Linked DNA regions of Tamandua tetradactyla. The main gene of each other region encodes a partner of the protein of the gene in region 3 in a complex. Links are inferred from orthologs where the notes say so. Each region holds a gene or a part of one and is shown on either strand. Other genes may lie near its edges.

What was found.
Region 1: DR1 (region 3) and SGF29 share a complex: the UniProt entries of both Homo sapiens proteins name them as parts of the ADA2A-containing complex. The link is inferred for Tamandua tetradactyla from reciprocal best matches to the Homo sapiens genes DR1 and SGF29.
Region 2: DR1 (region 3) and TADA2A share a complex: the UniProt entries of both Homo sapiens proteins name them as parts of the ADA2A-containing complex. The link is inferred for Tamandua tetradactyla from reciprocal best matches to the Homo sapiens genes DR1 and TADA2A.
Region 4: DR1 (region 3) and MBIP share a complex: the UniProt entries of both Homo sapiens proteins name them as parts of the ADA2A-containing complex. The link is inferred for Tamandua tetradactyla from reciprocal best matches to the Homo sapiens genes DR1 and MBIP.

The regions. Positions count from the first base shown.
Region 1 is NC_135349.1:24,815,732-24,823,055, forward strand, and holds the start of SGF29 (SAGA-associated factor 29), read right to left. Parts: upstream 3,024-7,324; 5' UTR 2,801-3,023; intron 2,359-2,800; 5' UTR 2,252-2,358; intron 2,226-2,251; exon of another isoform or gene 1,731-2,225; intron 1-1,730. Other genes in the region: NUPR1 (nuclear protein 1), read left to right, coding at 5,378-5,492, 5,948-6,084. UniProt on the Homo sapiens protein: Chromatin reader component of some histone acetyltransferase (HAT) SAGA-type complexes like the TFTC-HAT, ATAC or STAGA complexes.
Region 2 is NC_135332.1:44,823,886-44,830,732, reverse strand, and holds the start of TADA2A (transcriptional adapter 2-alpha), read right to left. Parts: upstream 3,023-6,847; 5' UTR 2,942-3,022; exon of another isoform or gene 2,922-2,941; intron 2,174-2,921; exon of another isoform or gene 2,109-2,173; intron 903-2,108; 5' UTR 789-902; coding exon 764-788; intron 1-763. Other genes in the region: ACACA (acetyl-CoA carboxylase 1), read left to right, coding at 3,577-3,614. UniProt on the Homo sapiens protein: Component of the ATAC complex, a complex with histone acetyltransferase activity on histones H3 and H4. Required for the function of some acidic activation domains, which activate transcription from a distant site. Binds double-stranded DNA.
Region 3 is NC_135337.1:30,527,742-30,535,349, reverse strand, and holds the start of DR1 (protein Dr1), read left to right. Parts: upstream 1-4,588; 5' UTR 4,589-5,402; coding exon 5,403-5,622; intron 5,623-7,608. UniProt on the Homo sapiens protein: The association of the DR1/DRAP1 heterodimer with TBP results in a functional repression of both activated and basal transcription of class II genes.
Region 4 is NC_135340.1:17,271,330-17,278,721, forward strand, and holds the start of MBIP (MAP3K12-binding inhibitory protein 1), read left to right. Parts: upstream 1-4,391; 5' UTR 4,392-4,482; coding exon 4,483-4,611; intron 4,612-7,392. UniProt on the Homo sapiens protein: Inhibits the MAP3K12 activity to induce the activation of the JNK/SAPK pathway. Component of the ATAC complex, a complex with histone acetyltransferase activity on histones H3 and H4.

The DNA.
Region 1 (7,324 bases), on a different chromosome or scaffold from region 3:
GGGCCAAAGAGTTGCTTCCAGGAGACCTCTTTTGTTGCTCAGATGTGGCTTTCTCTCTAAGCCCAGCTCTGTAAGGAAAATCATTACCCTCCCCCATACATGACATTCAGGGGTAAAAGTCTCCTTGACAATGTGGGGCATGACTCCTGGGGATGTCTTGCCCTGGCACCCTGAGATCTACAACACCTTCCTGACCAAAAGGGGGAAACAAAGTGTAATAAAATAAGGCGTCAATGGCTAATAGATATCAGATGGAGACAACAGACTATTCGGAGGCTACTCTTTTGCAAGCTTCAGTTTGGTAGTGCTGATTGCCAGGGTTTGCTAAACCCCAGCCAACATCACTCTTATTAACTCTTAAGAACACCTAGGGCTCAAACTGAGCCTCTATAAAAGTTTCAGGCACAAAGTTTGCTTTCCTGGTACCTATAATATCCAGAAGGCTCCTAAGCCAGATAAATCCTAAAACCCAGAGGTACCAGCCTCTCCAAGATTATCAACTAATTACATCCCCCTGTCCTTTAGTGTCAACACCCCTTTTCAATGTGAAAAAGTCAGAACAAGCATTGCCCAAAGATCCCTATAGATTGGGAGAAGGATCAGAGGAGAAGGAGGAATTGTAACAGAGAAAATAGGATTTAACAAACAAGTTTGGCTGCTGAGTCACTGTACTGAAATTTCTTCCAGTTTTCAATGTTTTGGAACAGCTAGAAGGAAAAATCTGAAATAATGGAATGGTAACTCATCAGAAACTCTGAAATCTGTTCTGTAACTACTTGTTCAAGTGTACTTTGAAAATTACTGCTTTTTCTTTCTTTTCTTTGTATATATGTTTCATTTCACAGTTTAAAAAAAAAAAAAAAAAAAAGACTCTCCCTTACGACCTTACTTCCCTTGGCAGGCAGGGAGGGAAATGGGAAATGCTCAGATTCAGTGGGTTTTGTCCCAACAGGTACACAAGGAGCCACATCATGACCAGAAGGTGGCATTGTATGCATGAATCCAAGGCAGGAAGGGGAAAACCTGAGTTCACTCTTGAAATTGCTTCCCCCCCCCCCCCCGCTTATAAAATAAGCATACATTGTGAAAAATTCAAACATTGCAGAGGTATAGAATCTATAATGGAGAAAGTAAAAACTTTCCATAATCTCAGCCTGGGATATAACCACTATGGAGAGTTTGGTACACATCCCACTTCCCATTTTTGTTTTCAATAACTGAAATAATTTTTCTTACAGAAGTAGGATCCTAGTATACATGCATATCTACAACTGGCTTTTTTTTTAACCTAACAATGTATTGTGGACCCCTTTCTCATCAGAGCTAGAGAGAGAGCTTATTTTTAATGGCTACAGAGTATTTCACAGAAGGAGGCTGATGAGTCCCCCACTGGGACACTTTGCTTCCTGCTTTTCACCACTGCAAACAAGGCTACAGTCAACATCCTTGTACCTGCATCTTTATTTCACCTGGAAGTCTTTCTGTAAAAGACTCCTGGAAGTCAGGCTCCAATATCAAGGAGTCAGTAGTACATTTACCATTCTTAGCAATACTGCCCATTGGAAGATTGCATCCATTTATTTTTAAAATGATGATACCATACTAAGAAAAATTCCAACACAGCTTCCGGGTTTGAGGGCATCTCTGACCAGGACCGAAGGGCAGACAGATACATCCTGTTTCACCTTATTTAAACATTCCCTTGGTGTACAGCAGTGGCACTGACCCACCTTGATGGCACACCCTGCCTTTGGCCTGGGAAGCTTCACATCCTCTGAGCTAGTGACTTCCACATACCGCCAGGCCATCCAACTTTCTTGATTTGGGTGGTATAACTCCTGGAGTTGGGCATTTCTTGCAGTCTTTCCCACAAATCACCATTCTTGTTCAAGCTTCACCACCTCTAGGATGTCTGCCCTGATTTCACACCCCCCACATCCATCCAGGGAATTCTCCCAGCCCCCTGTGTTTTTGCTCAGTATATTATAATCCAGTATGGGTTATATAATAGGTGTGCTTGGCAACCACATGGAATGTCATAAAGGTACAGTCACAAGCAGAGAAAAATAAACTTCCTGGTAGCTAATTATATATACACCTGGAGGCGAGAGGCTGGGAAAACACACATCTTGACTTTTCCCACTGAGTCACTCTTAGGCCCCACAGGGTCCGTCTTGAATGGATTCCCTTCTCACTTGGCTGCCCTTCCTCCAACCACTCCCATGCTAGAGTCTGTTCTCTCCTCCAGCACCTGCAAGGTCAGGGCCAAGTCCCAGGCTCCACGGAGGACAGTCACAATGTCTTCATGGGCTCTGTGGGACTAGGGTTGGGCCTCGCAGTTCCTGCAGAGCAGAGCATCTGAAAGTTGAACAAGCAATACTGATCTCAGCATAACTTCATGTATTCAGCTGACACTGACTCTTTGCCAGCCATCGATAATGCATTATAAGACAGACAAGATTCCTATTCTAATGAATAATGATAACAGTAGCTAACATTTATTGAATGTCTACTATGTCTTAGGCGTGTGGTAAGCCTTTGTTAAGAATTAGTCTTTAAACCTCACAGCCAACCCCACGAGGTAGATACCATTATGGATCCCTTTTGACAAATGAGGAAACTGAGTTACAGAAAGACCAAATAACTTTGTCTAAGGCAACACTACTGACAAGTGGCAGAACCAAGCTTTAGACCCAGAGATTCCGGCTCCAGAGCCTACTCCTTCAGCTGCTAACTAACCTAAACCCAGCAGTTGCATTCTAGTGGAAACAAATAATGGAGAAGTAAACAAAAAGGATACCTTCAGTCAGCAATCACGGAAGGCTGTGACGAAAGTCACATCAAGTCAGGTTAATGGAATAAAGACTACCTTTATAGAGCCCCACACAGGGGCTCTGTGTGGTGTTTTCCACAGGGGTGTGCCCTGCTGGGCTGGAGGCCACCTCCCCACCCCACCGAGCTTCCGGAGGGCATGGCCGCCCCTCAGCACAGGACCTGGCCCAAGGCCGGCTTTAATGACAGCTTGTGGAGGAGGGAAGGGATCCTGCCAGGTGCCTCCACACACACAGCGGGCCAGGGCTTTGCCAGCGTTTGTCCAGCAGTGCCAACCCCCAGAGAGCGCTGGGGGGGGGCGGGGGGCAGGTAGACTGCGAGGAGGCCCCACCCCCACTCCCCGCTCACCAGCCCTGCAGCCCTGAGCAGCCCACACCCTGAGCCCGGGTCTCCCTTCTTCGCAGAGTGGGGGTAATAGCAGTGCTGGTGCCTGGCTCAGGGCTAAGGCACCCACGGTGGGTGCTGTTGTTTTCGTCACATCCCAGGCGAGGGAACGGACGCAGACGGGGGCCTGAGATCTCACAGGCAGAATCCGGCCAGGCCTGGTGGACCCGCTCCTCACCAGGGCCAGTGTCACCTGCTCGACTGACCATGTTGGCATGGTTGTCGCGGGGACAGGAGACCACGCTAGCTTCTAGCAAGTGGGGTCCAAGAGGCTCAAAGGGCTGGGCCAAGCAGGAGAGTCCCCACAGCGCACTGGGGTGCCCTGCCCTGCTAGACATTCAGGAAGGTGAAACGCAGACACAGGCTGGTAATTTCCCAAACGCAGAGCCTAACTCCATGTTACAGGGGAGGGTTCTGCTACCACACCTAGTGATAAAGCCCGTCCCTTGGCAAGAACACCTCGTTTTCTCATTTTCTCCACATCAAGGCTCGTTAGCTTGTGTTGTCTTTACTAGGGTTAGTTCCCTCTTCCTGTCATCTGGGACCTTATGGTCATCCCAACCCTGTTTTTTTCCCCTTGTGTCCTCCCGTCCGCAGTTTCGTTTCCCGTGTGTTAAAAAACTCACAGATCACCCAAATCTGGGAAACGAGCTAAATTTAATTCTGGCTCAGGCAAGGGAGAAACACAAGCAGAAGTGTTGCTGCTTGTTAAACAGAGGAGGAGGCTGGGTTATTACAGGATTTAGGGGAAGGAGGCAGTTTAGGTTAACACTGAAATGGAACAGGGTTTTTGATAGGCTCAAAGCAAAGTGGGTGTGTGTGCACAGGCTAGCATCTGGCCTGGGCTGAGAAGGGCTGTTTCACTGGAGATTGCAGAGGTTTTGTTTTTTTTTAATTAAAAAGGAGTAAATGGAATTTCCTGTCCATCCAGTTCCCTGCCCCTGGATGACAGGTGCTGGGAGTTGGTATACCAGCCTCAGGGGAAACCTGAGTGGGCAACTGAGGCTGCACCTTCTCTGGGTCAGCAAGATACAGAACTTTCAGGCAAGAGTGGAATATTCTATTTTCACATGTTTCTTATCCAAACTCTTTCCTTAAGTTCATGTAATTAATAATAAGTAGACACCAATATCTACCTCAGTCATATCCATATTTTGGAATACGTATTATCTTATTATAAATTTCCTTTTTTTCTCCTTTGAGTTCTAGTTAGAGTATTATGTTGATTTTAGTTTTGAAATTATGTGACTAACCCTTATATAGTCCTCCATACTGCACCAGGCACTGTTCTAAATTCCTTCCCATATGTTCATTTAATCTGCACACCAACTTTTGTGGTAGATAGAATTCTTTATCAACCTCAATTTATAGAGGAGAAACAGCCCCAGAGCGTTTGAGTGACTTATCCAAGGTCACACAGGAAGTAGTGGAATTGGAACAGGAGTTTGAACCCAGGGCATCTGGCTCCAAGATCTGCACACTTAACCATCTGTAAGCCATACTGTCAGGTGAGGGCACTTACCTAGTGCCCTAAGGAACTTCTAGTAAAAAAGGGGTTGGGGGCATGAACCCAGCACACAGTAGGAACACAAAGGAAGTGGGATTGAACTGGGAAGGGCGCATCTGGATATAACCCCCACTCCATGTGCTGCTATTCAGGCCCTGAATCTAAGCCAGAATGGGGGGGAAAGGGGTGGAGTGAGCTATGTGGTCACGGACCCCAGGCCAGGAGGGGCACAGGGGCAGAGAGGGGGCGGCAGACAGGAAGGAGGCAGCACGGGAGAGACCCTCATGCCCCCCTGGCCCTGATTCCAAGGACTGTCTGTGCCCAGACCCTGCCCCCTTTCCCCTCCTCCCCGAGGGGCGGGGATCTCCTCTGTGGAAAAACACCCAGCTGGGCGAGCCCCGGTGGAGGAGAGGGTGGGGGGGGCCAGGGCTTACGGACCCAACTCTCGTGACTTGTGTTTACTGGGCCAGGTTCTGGGAAAGGGCCAGATTGCATCAGCCAGGGCCCGAGGGATGGCAGCCAGACAAGGCTGAGGCAGAGACACGGCCTTATAAACGGGGAGGGGAGAGGCGCCTGGGAGGGGAACCAGACACAGACAAACAGAGCTCTAGAAGAGGACGAGAGAGGAGACAGGGACGGTGAGGGTCAGAGGCCATGACGGCCACCTTCCCGCCAGCAGCCAGCCCATCCCAGCAGCCGCTGGGGCCTGAGGAGGACGAGGCTCACCTGGATGAGCACGACCTCTACGGCCTGAGCCACTTCCACCTGGGTAAGGCCCGGCCCCGCCATCTTCCTGCCCCTCCACTTCCATCCCTGGCCCCCTGCAAACGGTCTGACCTCCTTGAACTAGGTCCCCTCCTTGGGCTTCTCCCCACCCCTTGCCCTTGTCCACCCAACCTAATCCCTTGACCCTCAGGTCAGCCTGGGGCCCCCAAGTCACCCCCTCCTGATCCCCCATACACTGGACTCCAGGGCCTCACAACACAGAATACTGGAGCAACCACAGAGCCGCCAAGCACCCCACGTTTCCCAAGATAGGGAAACAAGCTGACAGGGGCCTGGGACTGTCCCCAGCTCGTGGTGACCAGCCCCCCGTCTTCTGTATCCAGCCCGAGCACCTGCCCCCCACCCCACAAAGTGGGGACTCAGTGGGTCCCCACTCTCCCCTGAGACCCCACAGCTGCCTCAGCCCCCCTCGCCTCTGACTCCTGCCTTGGTTTCCAGGAGGGGGAGGTCGGAAAGGACGCACCAAGAGGGAAGCGGCCGCCAACACCAACCGCCCCAGCCCCGGCGGGCACGAGAGGAAACTGGTGACCAAGCTCCAGAATGCAGAGCGGAAAAAGCGAGGGGCCCGACCCTGAGGCCGAGCTGGAGGTGAGGAGTCAGCGGGGTTCCTTCTGCCTCCCAGAGGCAGCCAGCAGGCGCCTGGTCCCGGCCTGGGGGAGGAGGGGTCTGCAGCGCTCCTGGGCTCTCACGGGAAGAGGAGACACACCTTTGGCTCTGAATTTCCTAGCGGCCAGAACGAAAAGGGAAACAGAACCTTTCCAATTGGAGGGAAATTTGGTTTACAACTAGAGAAATGAAAGCCCAGAGACAGCTGGGCAGGTGTCTGGAGTCAACAGAGCAAATGAGCAAGGAAGACAGAATTAGAACCTGAGTCTCGGGCCCTTTTACCACGTGCTTTCCCGTCCCTCCCCCACCCCAGGTGAAACCAGAGCACGGACCCCACAACACCAGCAACGGAGACAGAACTACGGAGACCAGACCACGGAGGAATTAGGGCCTGGGGGCAGGACCCAGGCCGGCTTGTCCCCCTCCCCACCCCCAGAACTCACCCACCTAACCAAAGCTCTCAGGGCCACCAAGGGGGCACCCCAGACCCCCCAAAAATGGCAAAATGGGAGCAAAAGACAGGGAATGGACAGGCAGAGTCAGGGAGGGGCCCCCCAAAAGGGAAAGACGCTGGAGAAACCAGAGCTCCCCCAGGGCAGAGGCGACAATAAAGAGATCAAGTACGGCAGCTACAGCTTGTGTGGTTTTATCCTCCCCTCTGCGCGTTTTTGTTGGGACACGTCTCTGCCTGCCTCGGTCAGCATTTGCATGAACTGATGAGAGAGCACTTTTTGTGGGTCCATATTTGGTGTGTGGATTTGGGCGTATTCCTGTTTTTATATGGCCCGCTCCTGCCAGCTGTGTTTTGGTGGGTACCTTTTGTGGTTTCTGATTGGGTGCAGGGAATTTCCTGTTTCTCTGCAATGCTGCCCAGGAAACACACCCCTCCCGCTTCCCACAGGTTCACTGAATAACAATCTTTTGTTTATGTTGTGCTCGAGAACAACCACTTTTGAAGGACATGCTATTTATGGGTGCTATCTACAAGGTAGAGAAAACTGAGATTTAAGACACTAAAAGATTCAGAGCTCAGGTTCAAGGAGTTTTAGTCTGTCTGCAAGAGGTAGGTCTCCTTGTCCGGGGAGCTGCTGGGACTGGGTTCCCGGAGACCAGCTGGGAAGGACGAGTCTCACTCGGTGCTAGCAGCCTCAGAAGCAGTTAGGGGAAGAATAGAGTGCAAATAAGGAGTGTGTTTGGAGCTAAGAGGAT
Region 2 (6,847 bases), on a different chromosome or scaffold from region 3:
GGTGAGCTAGATGTGCTTGAAGATTCCATTCTTCCCTAAACTTATAAATATTCCATAAAGGGAATGCGGGTAGAAAATAAACTTGGAGCTTCTTTAAGAAATCACTGAAGAAGAAATATAACCAAAAAATGCCTTCCGATTCTTCTCGTTGGTACAATACTAATCATCCAACAACGGTACTGCTATTTCTGCCAAACCTTTCATTGTCAGAATCACAGAAACGGCAGTGTTTTTTTTTCTCCATAGCTTGTGGTTATCTGAATTTATTTCATACATATACCACAATTCTCTGTTCAGTTTCTTTTTAAATCATGGTTTACTCTTAGAACACAAGTTCCACAAAAAAAAGGCAGGGCTGGGTAGCCACCCAGGCATTTCCTTTATTCCTACCACTGACATTCTCTCTTTCTTTCCTTTTTTTTTTTTGATATTATTTCTCTTGGCAACTGAAGCATGCTATTGGTTCTAAAGAGAAACCCCACTGCTTTTTAAAATCTAACAACAGGATAGATAGTAAGCCTGGTGTATCTCAGGGTAGTTTTCTTACAAGACCCAGAGTGATATGTTCATAGCATATATTCATTGGGCAACTGATAAGAATTGGTTGTTTTTTTATCTTGATTTGATACTATTTTAATTCCTTCAGGGTCAGATTCACAGAGTTTTACTGCTTAACTTCAAAGTGTTCACTTTTCTTCCTTGATCAAATTCCACTTCAGTATGCTGTTAAATATTCATCTAGGACTTGTTTCATTGTACTTACTGCTAAAGGAACCCAAACGGTCCATTCTCCAATTGGCAGAGACTGCTGCTTTGATCGTCCTTAATGTAGAGCTCCTTCAAGATCTCAATCTGGCCAACAAAGCTTGTTGTGATCATACACAGCAAAGTTTGATGAGTACCTATGAACCAACATAAGTGGCACATGGATAAGGATATAATCAAAAGGGACAAATAAAGAGAAAATAATGCAGCGTATTCAGCTCTATGACATCGTAGCTTTGTAATGCTGAGCTAATTATTTTAAACTATAAACCTTTATTCTTCTGAAAATGGTGTGTGATACAATAGTATCTACCTCCTAGAATTGGTGTTAAAAATCATAACCAAATGTCAAATCCATATATAAAACGAGGACAATTCATGGCCTATAATGCTACATAGTTATAATAAACGTCACTTCTCTCCTTTAGCTCTCTTCCCTTTGGAGAACTGATGCCCCCACATCTGACTCTGGTAGGGATGCCAATCACAGTACTTCATCCACCTTCCCTAAACAAGCTAAAACAACCAGATCTCTTCTTACAGAAATATGAATTTTGAGTAAGACAGGCAAGGACTGAAGACAGGTGGAGATCAGTCATTCACCAGTCAAAGAATTCGGTCCCATTGTTGAGATCCCGAGAGCAGCCCAACTCCCTCAACACTCTTACCTTTCCAATAAAACTTGAATTTGAATGAGTTTCTTTTACTACAAACCAAGGAATCCTAACTAATGTAGCATTAATTTGTTCACTCATTTATTCTTTCAACAAATATTTAATAGGTATGTTCAACTTATAGTCCTTAAAGGCAGAAATGAACACATTTTCCACTTGCTGAATCAAGGAACATCATGCCTTTATGCTATTGCTTTTCTGGCATTTTCCACATTTTACTTTCTGACAATAACTTCTGAATCTGTTTTTTTTTTTTCCCACTTCTGTATGAAATTAAAGCAGGGACTAAATCTAACATACACGTGGTAATACTACGTACAAACTTTAAGTACTAAGCACCATGCCACACACATTGAAGAAAATAAATGGATGTGGAATGGACAAGAAAATGTTAGTATACAATAAGCCGATTCATATCTTTTGTTCTTAGAGTGATTTCTTTCACCTTGGTATTTCTACCCTGGGGATGACTTCATTAACGTGTAGGCAACAGTCAGATAACATAGCAGTCAATAAACTTTTATTTTGGGAGGGGTGGGGTCACCTCCTTCTGCTATAGTCCCAGGAAAAACTGATCTTAGAAGAAAAATGAGTTTAGCAAGGGGTTTTATGCACTCAGTTATGAAACAGAACTTGAGATTTACGGAGCTTTTCCCATATGCCATGTACCTTGGTATCACTGCAAGTGGATTATCTCTTTGAATCCTGCAACCTCCTAAGGCACGTTCCTTTTTCTAAGGAAAGGAAACAAAGATGATGTTCCTTGCACAACGTCTTACAGATATTAACAGCCGTGCCATTTTAAACTGAAGTTAACAGAACAGTCAGGTAAAGGATGCGTGCAATAGTCTGATAAACCATGAGCTTTCTGCACACCCTACATCATAAAGTACTGCAATAAGCAGAGTTGTCTTCTCCTGCTTGCTTGCTTCTCACAAAATACCACATTTCTGACACATCTCTCTGAGGACAGGAAGGTAACTACAAGCGACGAGCTTCAGTGTGGTGGAGAGGAAGGGTGAAGAATGGGAGTTTTGCAGATATGGGTTCAAATTCTCACTTTTTCCTTACTAACTGTACGATCTTAGGTAAATCATTTTACCTGAGCCTCGCTCAGTTCTCAGCTTCAAATTGGAGCTAAGCTATCACCTTGTGAGGCCTACTTGAAAATCCGATGGGGTAACGTGGATCAGGGACAGAGCACACAGTGACTGCTATTATTAGCGTTGTGCGCTCCATTGCTGAGACAGGAAAACCGAGGGCGGGAAGCGCCAGGCGCGGGGCGGGGCCGCGATGAGTCAGGCCGGGACCGCACCGCTCTCACCCCCTCACGCAGCGTGGCTCCGAACCACTCACCCGCGCACCTTCCTGGGCGCCGTCGTCGCAGTCGGCCGGCCCCTTCCCCCCCGCCGCCCTTGCTGTGCCCGCACCCCCTCCACGTTCAGCTAGAGGGGCTTGCGCCCGCCAGCCCGCTGGACCCACCACGGTGCATCGCGCCTCACCTCTCTGCGTCCCCCTCCTCTGCGCCCTGCAGTCGCAGTCCGCGTGCACGCCCCCCGGCCTGCGTGCTCGCTCCCGGGCGGCGCCGACGGGAGTGCGCCGCGTGCCGCCCGCCCGCCGCCGCCTCCCAGCTCCTCCCCGGCGCCTCCGCCCCTTCTGCGGTCGCCACGGAGCTTTTTGCTTCCTAGCCGGCCTAGTCGCGGCCACCCTAGTTGAGGACTGGAAGGATGGAGTTGAGCAGCTTGTTAGACTTTTGAGTCCGACCAGTGTTCGCTGACTGCCGCGTGGCACTTGGCCGGTCGCTACAGGCTTCCCATCGCCGGGTGACGTTTGATCCCTTCCACAGGGCGGCGAGGTGGACTGGGCCGGTACTGTTTTGTTTTTAGCATTCCCACCTACCACTCCGGTTGCAGCCAGGGAAACTGAGGCTAAGTGACTGGGGCTAAGGACGACGAGCACTGGCCACCTCTGGAATTCAGGTCTCGGAGTGGTGCTCATGGATTAACCAGACTCAAAGGTTTAAAGGATGAACAAGGTACATTTTAATCAGATGCTTCTGGAACGTCGAAATTCTCTTCCTTGGAAAGAACCATCCGCCCTTTGTGCGTCAGAAGCCCAAATTGAGGCGCAATGAGAGATGCAGTGGTCTACAGTGATGTCAATCTTGAGGGCTAGGTATGTCCCAACATCTCTTGTTACTACTACTAATTATTATAATAGCTACTATTTGTCCAGTGCTTATTGCATGCCAGGCATTGTACAGAGCAGTTTACACACATTGTCTCATTTAATCTGCAAAAACAATCTTATGAGTTAAGCATTATTGTTACCCTCATCTTACAGGTGAAGAAATTGAGGCTCTGGCCATATAAATAACTTGGAATCACACTGCTAGGAAGTGTTGGAGAAGGGGACTCAAATCCTGGTTTTTCGTAACCGTTATGCTGTTACATCTGTTTACAACTCTGTCTTTGATAAATTGTCCCTACCTCTTTCAGAAATTCATTTATACTTTCTGCTTGTGCTAACTCTTTATTGATTTTTTTAGATAAGTTATATAAATGTATTGTTAAAAAAAAAACCATATGAGCAAAAACAATGTAAAACTCAGCTCCCACCACATTCCATAAACAATTAACATTTTGATATGCGCCGTTCCAGACATTTTCCTATTCATGAGGACAACAAATATATTATAGATAGTTTTACATTTTATGTATCCTGAAAATCTATTACTCATTCCTTTGAAAAATTAGTTAGTGAACAGACACTGCTCTAGGTGCTGGGAATTTAATAGTGGACAAAAAATAATTTCTGCCTTATGGAGCTCATAGTGTAGTGGGGGGAATTTGACAATAAGCAATACAGGTGGTATGTTGCCAAATAATAAGTAATGCCAGGTAAGTAGTAAATTCTATGGAAAATGGAATCTTGAATAGGGTGTGAGATTTTGTGTGTTTGTGCAGGTTATTGTGATGCCCTGATACATCCCAGAATAATTTAGGCAGAGAATAAAAAAGTATTTGCAAAGTACCCTTGGAGGACTGGGAGAAAGGAAGGAATATTAAACTTCCCCATCTGGGGAATTCCTTATATTCTCACAAGCATTGGGGATAACCAGTTTAATAGGCTGATCCTTCGCTTTTGGGACTTACTCGTATGAAACTTATTTTGCAAAGAAAAAGATAAGCCTAGTTATAATTATGCCTAAGAGTCATCCCCAGAGAACCTCTTCTGTTGCTCAGATATGGCCTTTCTCTCTAACCCAATTTGGCAGGTAGAACTTACTGCCCTCCCCACTACGTGGGACATAACTCTCAGGAGTGTAAGTCTCCCTGGCAAGGTGGGACATGTCTCCCAGAGCTGGAACTTTGGCATCATGGTATTGAGAAAGCCTTCTTGACCAAAAGGGGAAGAGAGAAATGAGACAAAATAAAATTTTAGTGGCTGAGAGATTTCAAACAGAGTCAAGAGGTTATCCTGAAGGTTGTTGTTATGCATTATACAGATGTCCCTTTTTCGTTTGTGGTATATTGAAATGGCTAGAGGGAAGTTCCTGAAACTGTTGAACTGTATTCTAGTAGCCTTGATTCTTATTGTAAACCTTAACAAGCAAACATACAAACGATCCTGTACATGGTGTACAATCAATAGCTCACAATATCATCGCATAGTTGTGTGTTCATCACCACGATCATCTTTTTGAACATTTGCATCTCTCCAGTAAAAGAAATAAAAAGAAAAACTCATACATACCATTCCCCTTACCCCTCCCTCTCACTGACTACTAGTATTTCAGTCTACTCAATTTATTTTAACCTTTGTTCCCCCTATTATTTGTTTATTTTTTATCCATATTTTTTACTCATCTGTCCATACCCTGCATAAAAGTAGCATCAGACACCCAGTAGCCTTGACTCTTTTTTTTTCATTTATTTTTTATTTTTAATTGTTTAACCTTGACTCTTGAAGATGATTGTTTAACTATATAGCTTTTACAACATGACCATGTGAGTGTGAAAACCTAGTGGCTGATGCTCCCTTTATCCAAGGTATGGGCAGATGAGTTAAAAAATTAGGGCAAAAAATATATAAATAATTGGAGAGAGATAAAGGGTAAAAAAAAATTGGGTAGATGGCAATACTAGTGGTCAGTGAGAAGAGGGGTAAGGGGTATGGATGTATGGATTTTTTATTTTTCCTTTTTATTTCTTTTTCTGGAGTGATTCACATGTTCTAAAAATTATCATGGTGATGACTATGCAACTATGTGATATTATTGTGAGCCATTGATTGTATACTTTGGATAGCCTATGAAAAAAATATCAGAAGTGATATGTGGGGGTGCTCTTTTAGCTAAAGTAGACAGAGAAGACCTCTCAATGGAGGTGGCACATAAACAGAAATCCAATCATTTAGTGAGAGACAGAGAGGTATATGGATTTCTAGAGGGAAACTATTCTCAGAGAAGAGACACAGCAAGTGTAATGTCACTGAGATAGGAAGACTTGCTTGGCATGTTAGATAAACAGCAAGGAGATCAGTGGGACTGTAATGTAACATATAGCAAATTAAAGAGATAAGGTGAAAAACACAAACAGGAGCCCAGTTGTATATCATCTGATAAGCTATAATGGACTTTGGATTCTATCAGGATGTGATTGAATGCCATGGAATGCTAAGAGCAAAGGAGTGATCGCATTTGTTTTAAAAGGATCACTCTGGCAGCTGCATGGAAAATAGACAATAGAAGCATAAAAACTGCCCTTTAAAGCATAAATTGTGCTTTTATTCAGCAGTTGTTTAACAGATAATTTATTAATGTAGACATTCCACCTAAACCTTTACAACCACTCCCACCTACTCCACAAGCTGGAGATAGGGTCAGACAGGAAATTCTTTGTACCTTTCTCACCTAACCTGAAACTTTTTTGAGACTGGCTAGGGTGTATATGAAAATCTGAAAGTCAGAATTGTCAGTCAACTGAATATGAGTCATCGATGTTGTGCCATTGTGGGGAAAAAAAAAGTCCCGAATAATAATGAGATCTGTTCTTTTAAAACAGCATTCAAGCACCTGGAAATTATTTTACTTTTTCACATGTTGATAGGCCTTCATTAGATTGTAAGTCAGTTTGGTCAGTGTGCTTAAGACAGATGTGGAGAAGTTAAACAGTAGTAATAGTGATAAGTGATTAAGGAAGTGTCGAAGGAAGAACAGATTTGGAAGACAAATTTAAAGTTCTGGTTTGGGTCTGTGTTTTGCAATCTAAGTGAAGATGATAACTGGAGCTCAGGGGAGAGGTCAAGGCTGAAACTGTATAATTGTATTAGAGTTATTTGTTTGGATGTGTGTTTTCCTTAGTTAGAGCTTCTTGAAGACAAGGACTGTCGGTGTCTTCTTTGAA
Region 3 (7,608 bases):
TTCCCATTCATCCACATGTTATCCCAGACTAATCTTTTTAAACATTTTTATTGTCATCCTCCTTCCCAAAAATGTGCACTAGCTCTTCCCATTGCCTACAGAAGAAACTCCACATTCCTTAATATAATGTTGGAAAGAGCTTAGGCTTTGGAGTACGAAAGCTTGGGTTGCATTCCCAATCTGTCATTTACTTCTGACCTTGAATAAACTCACTAAATATTGATTCTCTGATCTATAAAATGGTAATGCTAACTAGTTACAAACAGTAAATTCATGTAAAAGTGCTCTGTATTTTTAAAGTGTTATAATGAATGTAACTTTTTCTCTCTTGCTAAAATTTAGAGATAGTTACTACACTGAAAAAAAATAGCCTCAGCTTTGGACTTGAAAAACAAAACAAACAAAACAACCAGATCTCATATTCCAGTTCCATCACTTATTATGTGTGAAACTTTGAACAAATTAGTCAACTTCTCTGAAATTGTTTCTCCACCATCAAAACATCTGTTTTGTAGAGGTATAGGAGAAATGAAATGAAATTTTGACTATGGACATTTCTAGCACAGTTTGTCATTCATAATAGCACTGATTTATTTTTTGTCCTAATTTACCTTTTCAGCATCTGATACCACTATAACGGTTCACGATCTATAAACAGAGCCACTCTAAGCAATACTTTTGTGTTTTTTCTTCAGCTGTATGCCCTTTTCTTCTATATCAAATTCTACTCCATTTTGAAGTCTCAGTTAAAATGTTGAGTCCTGCATATAGCCTTATGTAACTCACACTGTGTCAATCACCATTTCCTCTGCAAATCTTTAGCTTTTTTCTTTATAGCATTTAGTTTCAAGCTGGTTTATAGTCTGCTTTCCCTGAAAACAAGTAGAGTGTTGTGTTTATCTTATTTCTCCCTTACCATAGTTAGGATAGTAGAACTCAGTTATCGAATGAATATAGGAATCAGAGGCTGCCTATCTTCTTCCCATTGCCTAAAGGACATCCCTCCCTTAAATGCCTATTGTTGCTTCAAACCCAAACACGTACAAAAGGAGGCATGTTGTCTCCTCTAAACTGCTTCCTTTCAACTTGGCCGTTTTTGTCAGTGACACTACCCTAATCCTTAATTCCAGTCTCTGAGGCTAAAACTTTATAATTTTGTTTGACTAATCTGTTTCTTTCACTAAGGAAGAACCAAATTTGCAGGTTCTTCCATCTTTTTCTGTGAACTGGTTTTTTGTTTCACTCTATTATTCCTATGACTAATAATTATCAGTGTAATGATTATTTTTAACAACCACCATCATTTATTGAGCATTTAAGTTCTCAGTTACTTTGTATACATTATGTCATTTGATCTTTGAAACAACCCTGTGAAGCAGGTATTCTTATTCTTATTTTATAGGTGAGAAAAATCAAGACACAGACTAAATACTCTGCCCAAGGTTACATAGCTGGTTAAATGGTAGCTTAAATACAAATCTAAGGCTAAAGTCCTTGAATAAGTTGGTCTCTTTCAAGTTGCAGAAAACAAAACAGTGTTTAAGAAGGGTATTAAATTATAAAGACACACAGGAAATAAAGAAGCAAAGGAAACTGTTTCATAGAGGCCTACTGATTCTTTCAAAAGTGCATACATCAATACTCTAGCATTCCACTATTTTGTTGGGATATATGACAGAGGCATTTGCTCCCCTATACTTGAGAAGACAGCTTTTGTTCTAGCTTCTGTTGCCCTTGTTACAACTGATTTAGCTTCTCACTCCTCTCCCTCTATTTCTGGTTTCTATTGCCTCACGATTTCTGCTGCCTTTTATCTTTGGCTTTCACACTTCTAATAAACAAAAATAATGCTTTGCTTCAATTAGGGCCATCTCCTCACTGTTGCCAGAATAATTTGTCTCCACAACTTCGAATTGTTACTTTAAACACAAATACTTTTTTCCTTTCTCTCTACCTATCGAAAATTTACATTTCAAGGCTCCTTCAATACTTCTTCCCAAATGTTTCAATGCATACTTGAGTGACTACTATGAGAAAAGTCCCCTTGCTGACCCTTCATGAACCCACAGCATGAGGAATAAATAAATCTGTTGGGATGTGGGAGCTATTCCAAACTCATTCTTTATGGCTAGTGTTACCTCGATACCAAAACCAGAGAAAGACCAATATATTTTATGATATATATGCAAAAATCCTCAACAAAACACTAGCAAACTGAATCCAGTAATATATAAAGAAAATTATATTCTTTGACTAAGTGAGATTTATCCCAGGGATACAAGGTTGGTTTTACACTTGAAAATCATTTTAATGTAATACATTATATCAACAAAATAAAAAGCAAAAATCACAGTCATCTGAAGAGATGCATAAAAAGCAAGTTATTTAGCCCCTCGGAGTTACTTTCTTTATCTGTAAAACTGGAATTTAAACAGTCCCTATCAAGTAAGATTGCTGTGAGAATTAAATGAGATAATATGGGTACAAGTATTTAGCACAGTGCTAAGCACAAAAGAAGTATGTTATGCTTCAAATTACAAATATTACGGATCTACCATTGTCACTAATTTTAGCTGAAGACCTGGGCATCTAAGAAATAACACATTTTAAGATAACTATTTAAATCATCATAAAAAAATAATGCATTATGCTATCATGTTTCTGTTCATATCATGAATTTGGTGATACCATAAAAAAAATGTCCCATTTATGTGCACTATCTCTTAAACTCTTAAAGCTTATTAAGGAGATGTTATCCTTGTTCTCAAAAGCCTATAAATATCCCTATAAGTAAATACTTAAATATGGAATCCAGAGCAGCATATTTCCTGACATACCACATTGCTATTTATATTTAATAAAATTTTCTCTCAGCATATTATATAGGGTTTCTTCCTGGTTGAAACTGCCCCTTAACCGAGACCTGATAAAAGTGACAGTAAACCCTAACATTTATATAATGCTTATTACATATAGCATATATAATATATGCTATAATATATAAAGTAAAAAGTATTTCCACATACAGTCATACTTGACTGGAATCCTGTGAATTATATATCTCATTTTTTCTTGAAGAATATGAGGCCAAGAAAGTGACCTACCTAAAGTAACAAAAAGGCCGAGACGAACCTAGATTTCTTCTCTACATATTCCACGTTCATTATGGCTGTAGTAACAAACTACTACTGAAATAACAACTTAAAATGCATGCTCTATTGATCTACATAACATACGTCTCTAAGTCTACACAGCATAAGTGTTATATGAAAAGGCACTATTTTCTTTTTTAGGAGAGACAAAATATGGGCCAGTGACAATGATATCTCTGGGGACTGATAAAATTAATAAGTCCATGGTTTGTAAGATTAATATAAGGCCAAATTTAGATGACATAACTCTTTAAACGAATAGCAAACTAAATTACAAAAACCGTTTCGGGAAAACGTTACCTCTGAGCCAACATTTTCACATTCCTACTTTGAATTTTAAAATATTGTTAAATCAAAAAAATTTTGTTTTGACTAAACTTACTAGAACTGAAAAACAAGTGTTCACACTTAAAAAATGAAGGAACAGGCAAGTGTCCAGGAAAAAATGCTAAACGAAGAAATGATAAACGTAAGATCCCTTAGAGGTGCCACATCTAGAGTTTTCAGACAGAAACAAAACGTTTTTAAAAATATTCCAAATAACCAGCCGCCGCGCAGTATATATAAAACAACGTATTTGATGCACTAAATCGCCAAAACTGATTTAAATAGTACCTCATTTACATTATAGAAATTGCAATATTCCACTATTTATAATGTAGTCTCTTCGTTCAAATGACAGTACAATAAATTTGGTTTCTAAAAATAACACATTTTTTGTGAAGAACTCGACACCTGTAGAGATAAGCAAATATCAGAGTTGCTTAAGATACTCTTAACATACATTTTTTTCCCTCCAGAAGCCAGCGTGCAATACATTATGAAAAACGGCTATGTTGGAACGATGACTCGTACGCTAAGCATTTCCACTACAGTGGGTCTGACTTCTAGTTTCCAGTTTAGCCTCAAGTTGTGACTAGCCAAGCCTCCTCTCTGAATATCTCCTTTCCCATAAAACGAGAAAGTGGGTGGAAGACCATACAGCGCTTTGATTCGACTAACAACTATCAGACATTTTCAAAAGCTTTCCCTCGCACGGTGCAGGTACATGATGTTCAATCTATCCCACCTCCTCATACCGAGCCCAGGCCCCGTTCCTTTCCCCTTCAAGCTCAAACACGTCTCCTTAAAGAAAAGTAGAGAGTTCTTTTAACGAAATCTACAGCTCCTTTGTTCCCAAAGACGGCTGCGGCAGCGTTTCGAGGCCGCAGAAGGTTGAGAGAAGGCAGAGGCGAAGAGACTGAGTTTCCTCTCGCCCACCCACTCCAATTCCTGTCCAGTGCCCAACCCCGAAGAAAGCGCGTGCGCAGGTTCCCCGGTACCGCGATACGCGCGCGCCTGCCCAGCAGCGGACCCCACGAAGGGGCAGGATGCCCGGGCGCGTGCAAGGCCCGCAAGAAGCGGAAGCTGCTGGCAGCGAGAACAGGCGGTTCCCGCCGGCGCTGGTGGGGGAAGGGCGGCAGCTACACCCGGAAGTCGGTATGGGAGAGAGGGGGAAGCTGGTGTGGGCAGAGGCTTCCGGTGGTGCAAAGGGTGTCGGGAGCGGCTCCCAGCAAGCCTTCCTTGGCGTCTAGAGGGGCCGCCGTCGCTGCAGCTTGGGCTTCCAAGATCTTCGTTCGGGCTAAACGGTCACGGCGGCCGCCACTGAGATCCCCCCGTTCCTGACTTTGTCCGTATTCTTGTCGAGGCAGCCGCCTCAATTTCAGCAGCGGCCTCGGCCGACATGTTGTGAAAGCGGCGCCGGTATCTGAAGGATGGTTTGGCAGAGGCGGCAGCAACGGCTGCTGGCGGCGGCGGGGGCTCAGGCTCTGTAGAGCCGAGCCCGCTGGGTGTCCGCCCTGTACCGCGGCGAGGCCAGTGCCCCTGGATCTTGCCTCTACTCCGGCGCCGTTGGCGGCCGGCTGGTTAAGCGACAGCGCTCGCCCCTCCGAGGAGACACGGAGGTGGTTCCCCAGCCGTTCAAATTTCCGGACCACGCCGAGCTTTCCTTTCCCCGGCCCGGGCAGTGCTGCCTGCAGAATCTTCAGCCCCCCGACTTTCCTCCCAACCTCGCCCTAAATCTCACATACTCTGGTGTTCCCAACCCTCTCAAGCCAGCTCCTCTCCTTCCCTTCCTGCTTTTTGAACCCTGTTCTCCAAGCGCCCCTCGGGGTTACTCTCCAGGGCGGCCTTTTGAGAAATTCCGTGAAGTAGTGTACCGGAGCCGGGGAGTTGTTTTTAAAGTCGGGGCGCGAGAAATAGGAAGGTACGATGGCTTCTTCATCTGGCAATGATGATGATCTCACTATACCTCGAGCTGCTATCAATAAGATGATCAAAGAGACTCTTCCCAGTGTCCGGGTGGCCAACGATGCCCGGGAGCTGGTGGTGAACTGCTGCACTGAATTCATTCACCTTATATCTTCTGAAGCCAATGAGATTTGCAACAAATCGGAAAAGAAGACCATTTCACCAGAGCATGTCATACAAGGTAAGTCGCATGTGTGAGATTTGATTTAAATGAGGGTGGGGGTGGGGCGTGCAGTCTGCTAGTTGCATGGCCGGTTCGTGTCAAAGCCTTCCAGTCCTCTTCACCGGTAAATGAAAAAGCCACCGGGATATGAAAGCAGCTTGTGCCTTATGAAAATCTTGTTGTCTTGCGGTACTTTTCATCCAGCGAATACACGTAAAGATTGCAAGCAATTAGGCCATTTTAAAAGCCCCAAAAGATAAAGTATTAATAGTGGTCTGAATTTACAACCAGATAAGCTGAAGCAGCAAGAACTGCCTGCCCAAAGTTGAACGTAGGAAAATAACCCAGTAATTTTACCTTGGAAAGTTAAAATTCAGCCAGAGGAACTTAAAACATGAGTTAAAAACAGAGCTCATCTTTCACCCTTGTAGAGGGAGAGATTGATATTCTGAACACATAAATTTAAAAAATTATTAACACGAATATGTTCAATATTGTAAAGCTTATTGGTGTTGAAAAAAGGAAGGACTTATGTTTTCAACTTTAAAAATTGTTTGATGGTCCTACATTCATTGTTACCAAAGTACTTCTTACCAAAGTAAGAAAAGTGAGTGCTTTTTAATTTTTCTTTTTGTGTATATGTTTGTTTTTATGTAGCTTGCTTTGTTCACTGGAGATAGGTTTGAATGTAACGAAAAGCTTGTTTTGAAAGGTTATAAGAGATTTTTTTCGTGAAACATTTCACCGTCATTTCCTGCTGCCATTCCCTTTTAGATGTATAGGCTTACACTTTCATTGAACAGCATTTGTGAAAGTTTTGGGTTTCTTCTCTTTTATCTTGGAAGGCATCTAGTCCAGTAATAGGAATTTAGGGGAGCATATTTTGATGGTTTTGGACATCAGGAGGCATAATGTCGTAATGTTTTGGCAGGCACTTTCTGTAATGTTTACATCGTACTTCTATGCACAAAGTTGTTTTCAATTTAAGGTAATAACTTGCCCTTTGTAATAATTTAATTTAAATTCTGACAATCTCTTGCTTGCTTTTGAAGTTGGGGGGAAAAAGCCATGATTAATTTTAATCATTTTGTTAGGCAGATAGTTACCTACCATTTCATTTTTATAACTTAATTTCTTTTAATTAGAAAAGTTGTAGGTTTATAGAAAACTCATGCATAAAATACAATTCCCATATACTACCTTATTGTTAGCATCTTGTATAACTTAACTTTAAAAGGCAACTTTTCTGCTATACTAAAGTAGAGTACACATCTGCACATGTTCACCATTTACATTATTTTACCATCAATATTGATAAAAAGGATTAAATGATTCATTTTTTATCGTTAATGGTGTATTGAAGGTTGATTTGAAATATATCCTGCAATTCAAGTCCATACAGAAAAAAATCCCTAGGAAGAAGCATATTTGATTCTTTTTTTTTTTTTCGTATTTGATTCTTAAAGCTAATAGTTTTAGGTTTTTTCCTACTGTTTTGGTGTGCTGAATAGTCTAGCAAGTAAAAATGAAAGCCAAATTATCTATATTTTTACATTTTATGTGTGATGCTTCCATACAGTCTTTCACAAGGTTTATCTAACACAACCATAATTTCCTTTTGCAGTTCATAAAAAAGAAAAAGGATACTTTATCAACATTGCCTTTCTAATGAAAATTGAAAACGATTTCAGCAGAATCTGCCTAAATATTTGTTTACACTACAGAAGTGGGGATCATTCCAAAAATCTAACACACATTATAATCTTTCTTAGGGAGTTTATTCTATTCTAGGATATATTTAGATTTCTGATTGACACATTGGAATAAAAAGGCAGCTGTAGCAAACTGTATGCTAAATAGTTCAATTTTGAAATATGCTAAATTCAGTTTAATGCATGAGTTGGAAAATTACAGTGAAAAAGCATTTTCCTTTTTGTACTGAAATTAATTTGTTAATTAAAAAAATGAAGTATTGACCTGTTTTAGATTTACCAATTTACCATT
Region 4 (7,392 bases), on a different chromosome or scaffold from region 3:
GATTACAATTACAAGTATGTTAACAGATAGATATTGTCCTTTAGTATATTGATGTCCTGTATCCATGAACTTGCCAAATAAGCCTCATCATGTCCTCTTTGAGACATCAATAGCAGCTGAGCAGTACCCTCTCCTCTGAGGATTCCATAGGGCTATTCTTGTAAGCTCATAAATTTTAACAATTCCAAACTTTTCTTTTCGTTCTCCAAGCTCTATAGAGATTAACTGCTTCCTCTATGCTATTTTATTATTCTTTGTTTCCTTTTCAGTTAGTTGACTTATTCTAACTAATAAGTTTTATAATAAACTTTCTCCGTTCAAATAACAGATACGGTTTCTATTTCCTGACTGTCTTGGTATGGGGAATTTCAGTAAGCAAAACTTCAAAGATCGAATGTTGTGATTGGTTTAGTTGCTTCCATGGGCTTGACCACATGCTGAGTTCCTTGCTAATGGGAAGGAGAATGGAGATAATCCATTGAATAAGATGGCATCACAATTAGTCCATCATTACCTGTAACGTTTCTCCAATTTATTTGATAATAGAACCTCTCCTTAAAAGAACTATCTTCTGATTAGCATTCTGCAGAACAAATTGTGGAAAGTGCTGGCTTATACTACCCTATGCAATGAAACCTCCCTAAATACATCAAGCATGCTCAAGTTGCTGCTCATAATGTTTTCTGTAAATTGAGAATTCCTATTCATTGTTTGAGGCACAATCTGTTTTACCCTAATTGTTTATAGCTTTTCCTGACATCAAACACCAACCCCTTTCCCAATGGAATTAATTGGCTGTATTACTTTATACATACCCTAATACGGTCATTCTCACATTATATCATAGTCTTTTGTTTACATATCTGCCTATCTCACTAGAATTGGAACTCTTTGAGGCAAGGCTCTTGTCTGATTCATCTTTGCACCCCCCAATGCCTATGAGAAAGCCAGTCATACGGTGGATAGAATTAATTTGCAAGGACATCACTGAGGAGAATGGTTATGGGGGATAGCTAAATTTATTCAGTCAAGAAAAATTTGAGCACTTTGAATTTGCTTCCCTAGGTTTATGCTTCATTACTTAAAGCAAACTGTTTATAGTATTCTTTTTATGTATCAAAATTTTCACCCAAGAGTAGAAATTACTTCTCCCTCCCCCCATTTCACAAATCTGTTCACCTTAGGCAGGCAAATAAATTCAGTTCAACAAGCATATACCGAGCAACTGCTCTCTGCAAGGAACTATGGAAAGCCTTAGGTACAGGAACACGATACATATAAACACTCCTAGTCCAATCAGGAGATAGTCATGTATTCAAACAAATTTCTATGTTAATGTGGTAAATACGATAATAAGCACAAAATAAAATGATAAGTACATACAAACAAGTTGCAGGAATAGTTTAGCAGAGGAGACAATACACTCTTTATGAAGAGGGATATGAGGAAAGCCTTCCTAAAGAGGGTAATTTCTGGACTGGGGTTTGAAGATTTCTGAACTCCTATTTGAATAGGACGTTTCCAAATAGACAAAAGCAAAAGGCATGAATAAAGGCATGGAGGCAAGAAACAGCAGAATTTTGATGAAGTAACAGCAGACTGGGGAGTATTAAGTAACAAAGTTTGTAGCAAAAAACGAGGTAAGATATAGGCAACAGTCATATCATGAGAAGGGCCTTAGAGGCCATGCTAAAGGCACTGGGATTTACCCAGCAGGTGATGGGGAACCAGAGAAGGCAAATACCATTTGTTTTGCTTTTTCTGCATTAGGGAAAATCTGTTATCATCATTCATTCAACAAACATCTGTTAAAACACATTTAATAATTCAGGCATTTTACTAGGCACTGTTGTATTTAATAGAATTATGCCTTTAAAGCTTGTCATAAAAGACATTTTTGTTGATGAGGTAGTGTTTTATTTTCCTAGATGCCAAAACAAATATCATAAAATGGAGTGGCTTAAACAATGGGAATTTACTGGCTCAGGGTTTTGAAGGGAGGAGAAGCCTAAACTGAGGCTACAGCAAGGCAATGCTTTCTCCCTAAAGACTGTGGCATTCGGGGCTGATACCAGTGATCATTGGTCCTTGGCTTTTCCGCCACATGACAATGAAAATGACGATGTCTTTTCTTCTCCTCCAGTTTCTTTGACTTGTGATTGCTCTGTCCTGATTTCTACTTTGTGGACTTCTCTGTAAAGCCTCCAGTAGTAGGATTAAGACCCATCCTGATTCAGCGGGGCCACACCTTAACTGAAGTAACCTCATCAAATGGTCCTCTTTACAATGGGGTCATACCCACAGGAACGTATTAAGATTAAGACAAGTACATAGCCTAATTGTCATATATATATAATTTCTATCCTGCTCAATTGATTCTTGGCATAAACTTGCAGAATCATATTTATAACTCTGTAGCTAATGCCAAAATCAATATTTTTGAATCATTTCTGCCAAGCAGCAGATTTTTTAGTAAACCACGTCATAATCCATAGTTTTCTATAAATGGCAATTTTTTTCTTTATTCCTTTTCTAAATTGCATAGCTTTTATTTATTTATTTCTGTTATACATTAATATCTATCAATTTCTGCTTAAATTTAGGCAAAAGGAACCCACATCTTTTCAGTCTACAAACTCTTCTATTCAAAATGGAATTTCCTATTATAAAATAAAAAAAGAGAGAAAAAAAAAATTCCAAAATGCAGATAATAGGCTTCAGGAAGCAGTAGGAAAGGAAGAAGAAATAAGTCACAAAAGAATTAACAAATTCCAAATATTATGTAGGTAAACAATACAAGATACAAATGGACATCTAGATATCAAAAGAGAATTGCATTGAGAGATGAGATAGTATGAATCAAATGGCCATCAGTTAATTCTGTGGTAGAGAAACTTGAAACTTCAAAATCAGTTATGGCAAAGAGAAGAATGAGCAGCACTTGTTAAAGATGCGTGTTCACAAATGTCTTTCATACCAGTGTCCTGAATATTTGAAAAAATTCTTCACACCTAGATGACAGCAAATGATCTGATACTGCTTGCTAATCTACGTGATACTGGTTTGTAATTTGCCACAGAAACCAAACTTGTAGTTACTCAATCGCAAGTATTTTCCATTAAAAGTAGAATCAGAGGCTAACATTATAAAAAACTATAAATTTGGGGATAAGTGGTTTGAATGAGATTTGCTCAATTTAGGATTAGATATTGTGATATATTTTCTGGATGTCTCTAGACATAGGCTGGACTATCAGTTGTATATTTTGTCAGCTAATAAGGAAACAGACAAGATTTCTGAAGATCCTATAGAAGTCTGATGATTCCACAAATCCTTGGAAATGAAAACCTAAATAAGAGGCTCCCTAGAGATAGGTCAAAGGGTTTTTTTTTTAATCCCTACTGTCCTTATCCCAGTTTCTAGATACCTTATTTCTTCTCCTTTCATTCAGCCTACTCTAAAACTGAAGAATATACAATGTGCAAGTTTCCACCATTGTTTCCTTTACTGTAAATGGGTTAGAGTAGAATTAGGAGTTTAAAAAAATCCCCCTTTATCTCCAAACTGATAGATTTTTTTTTTTGGTGTTTTTGAATAGAACCTTACATAAAAATTCCTCTAAAATTTGTTTTTTTCAATTGGAGAACCAAAAATTTTTTTCTAAGTGTTAGCCTTTTTAAAAAAGATTAGAGTCCTTCAAACCTCATTGTAATAAAGCTATCTGATAAATTTTAATTTCTCCTTCTATTTTCAAAGATTGTACTGCGTGGAAATACTTGTAAGTTCATCCATTTGAAACAATTTTAGGGTTGAGCATCTCTACCGTATCACCCAGATAATAGCAACCGATGCCACGTTTTAAAACCTGAAAAATTATTCCGCAGATTTAAAGTCGTTAATGTCATTCCCTTGATAGTTACAGGCATAAAAGAACACTTTCATTGTTCGTGTAACCCGCACGAAAAATTATAGAGTTAATTTGTTGTAATTTTTAAACAGCTTGTGAAGATGAGAAAATTCTACCCTGAGCATGATTCCGTGAGAAAGACCGTTTCTCAAACTCCATCCCCGACCAGATACTTCTCCAGACTACAAACGCCACGTTAAAATGTCAACTTATTTTGGAGCTCAAATTCTAACAGTTAACAATTCTCCTTTTGCCAACACTCATAAACATGAATTAAGCTAGGTATTATGGTGCTAACCCTCGAAAGAACCACGGCTCCTACCGCCGTCCGACACACAGCAACCAGCCTCGCGCAGGTCAGCAACCGCCGGCTCCCAGCCGAGGAAGTAAGGCTACAGCGGCTGATCACGTGATTGGTGCCCGTACTTGTCAGTCACATTGAGAGGGTGGGGAGCCAAAAATCCCGAGCGAAAAGAGACGCGGTGGTTTACGTCATCGCAGAGCGACGAAAGCTGGAGAAGGAGGGGGATAGCTTGCGTACTTTGGTGGTGGTGGGGGCGGCCTGCGAAAGTGTCATGGCTGCTGCCGCGGAGCTTAGTCTCCCAAGCAGCGGTGACAGGAGCTTGGAGCAGAACTGCAGCCTCAGCCTCTCCCGCGAAGTGCTCTGCGAAATCTTTGGCTCTCTGTGCACCCTGGCTGGACAGGTAAGTGGCGGCCTGGGGGAACAGGGGTTTGGGGACCATCGTGCGCCCCCCCAACCCCTTTTTCCCTCTAGCGGAGGGCGGGGACCGCCGGGGCCTGCGGGCCTGTGGGGCTTGTGGGACTCTTGACAGGGTAGCGGATTCCTGGGGAGAAGCCCGAGTCCAGCCGCGTCCGGTCGGAGGGAGGAGAACGCAGCACAGGCTTAGTTTAGAACTGGTTGCAGATGGGATTTCCTGTTAACTGTGATCTCCAAAAGTGAGTGAGGATGCTGTATGAAAATCCAGCTCCAGGGAGGAGCTGGCTTGGCTTGGTCGGAGAGTAAAAATTCGGAAAAGCTGCTCTAAGTCTTTGGGAGACACCTGGCGCTCAGGTCCTCTTTTTCTCCAATTCATTTTTAGAAGTTGTTTGGTCATTGCGGCCTGAGATTCTGGAAACGCGCTCTCTTTGCCTTTATTGAGTGGTTTACTCTTATGAGTCACTTGGTTTTGTTATTTGCTTTTTCCTTCTGGCCGTCGTGTGCATCTCTTACCCTTTTGAACGAAGAGGAGAATAAAAGGAATAAATCTAAAGTACTTCTAGCGTAAAATTGGGTGGGTTGTCCATTATTGATGCTGTTTACATCAGACCTGTTGTTTAACTATTAATTAGTTTAACTGGCTGACAAATAGCTTTTGCATGAATGTCATGGTAAAAGTGGATTTGGAAAAACTGGGCTCTTCAAACTATTCGGATCAACTTGCTATTTGATTTCATTGTCTATCGTTCAAAGTAAATTTTAAATGAAAAACAACTTGAAAATGTTAGCCTGCTTTTTAAAAGGACATACTTTCTTTTATATCTTAGAATATTTTGTAGCTATAAAAATTTGTTCTGGGACTGGTACTAGTGCATATAGTGAATTAGACACCGCAGACATTTTTTTTTTGTTGAGGGAAATGGTGGATTTCTATAAAAATAGAGTGTGATTTGTGAAAATTATTTTTAAAAGCCTTAAGTATACGGAGAATAAATGTTTTAAAATGGTATTTCACTATTTAAAAAAATTCTAGTATGTATTTCATGACTTACAAAGTTAAACCTTCAGTTTGCTGTAATGGAACAATTTATTGATGGAATCTGCAAAAAGGCATAATGTAACTTTTAAACCCATTTGTTTGCCAAAAACTCACCGAAAAAAATGTTTTTAAAGACTTGGGACTTTTGATTAATTATTGTTAACATTGTAAATGCTTTAACAGTTAAGAGAACCTTTTATTTTTAAGATGTGGACATTGGAACTTTTTGGAAGTTTATTTACATTCTAATGTTAGGATGAAAAAAGTATGCTATCTTGTTATTACAGAAGATGTTTTTGTTTCAATGATGAATAGTTTTAAAAATTAACATTGAGACATGATTTAAACATTTCTTTTGAAATATTTTGCATACTGAATTTTTCAAACATTTAGAAATTTAAACATTCAGGTATTCTGTAGAGATAGGTAGAGATGTGATTAAAATATACTGTGTTACGTATTAAAAACGTTCAGAGTAAATATTTGGTGAATTTGCCTGACCCAGTGAAGGGATCTTCTATACAAGTGTCAGAAAATAAGATTGTCTGATCAGTTAAACTATACTTTGATAATTCTGTTTATATTTCGAGATGTATTGTCTAAAGATTAGAATAGAAACAGAGTACTATATTTATAAAAATCATGTTGAGGGAATAGCTATTTCAAACTTTTGCAACGTGTTTAGAGGATTTTTAAAATGTATGCCATATATGTCTTAAGTTCATTCTGTATAGTTGTTGTAGTATTAGTTTTCCTCAATGGGAAGCATAAAATTAAATGTTAAACAGTATTTTATACTCCTAGATTGCAAAATTTACGAATTTTAACCTTATTGCTTGCCTCTAAATGGCCCATTTTACCTCACTAAGGAATTATTTATTGTTAACTTAGATTTTCATATTAATTTTAATAAAGTTTTAACTGAAAATTCATATTTATATGGTCTATAGATTGATTTATTCTTACAAATTATATAGGATAAAATGTGTAGAAATTGTTTTACTAATAGAGGATTTGTTGAATGAATAATTGGATCTGTTGGGATAGTTTTAAAGTTAATATGTGACATTTGTATTTGGTTTTCCTAAAAGACCAAGTTCCTTAATTGCACTTGAAGGCTCATATAATTCGGTTGAATTGAAATGAGGATATGATTCAAACATTTAGATTTATTTTCTATATCTAGAAAATTTGATGCTTTGCTTTGGTTGAGGATTTGCCTGCTTTATCTTCAGCTGTTTTCAGAAATTTGCTATAATCAGCAATAGATATCTTCAAGGACTGTGAAAGTATAGGAATAGCTTAGTTCCAACATAACCAATTGCTATATAATGAAAGCTTTATAGACATCAAAATAATAAAAATTAGGGGGAATTCATCTTTGCCAGTGCAACCTACATAAAACTTCATTATTTGTTTACACTTGTCTAATACTGACTTGAGATTTTTCTGGTCTCATGTTCAAAGTGCAGTAAATTTCTGCCATGCAGTATTCATTCAGTCTAGTGCCTTTTTATTGGTAACTTTGGATATCTGGTTCCTTGTACAAGGAGGATTTATCTTTTTGTTATATACAGAACTTATAAAATCTGTTTGTGAACTCATGCAGCACTTACTTTATTTTGTAGAAAACATGACTGACTTTTTATCAAAGATTTTGGATAAATTAATATAATTAAGTTGTATGTACCGTATGTTGTATTTTTATAGTGTGCTGTAAAGACCTGC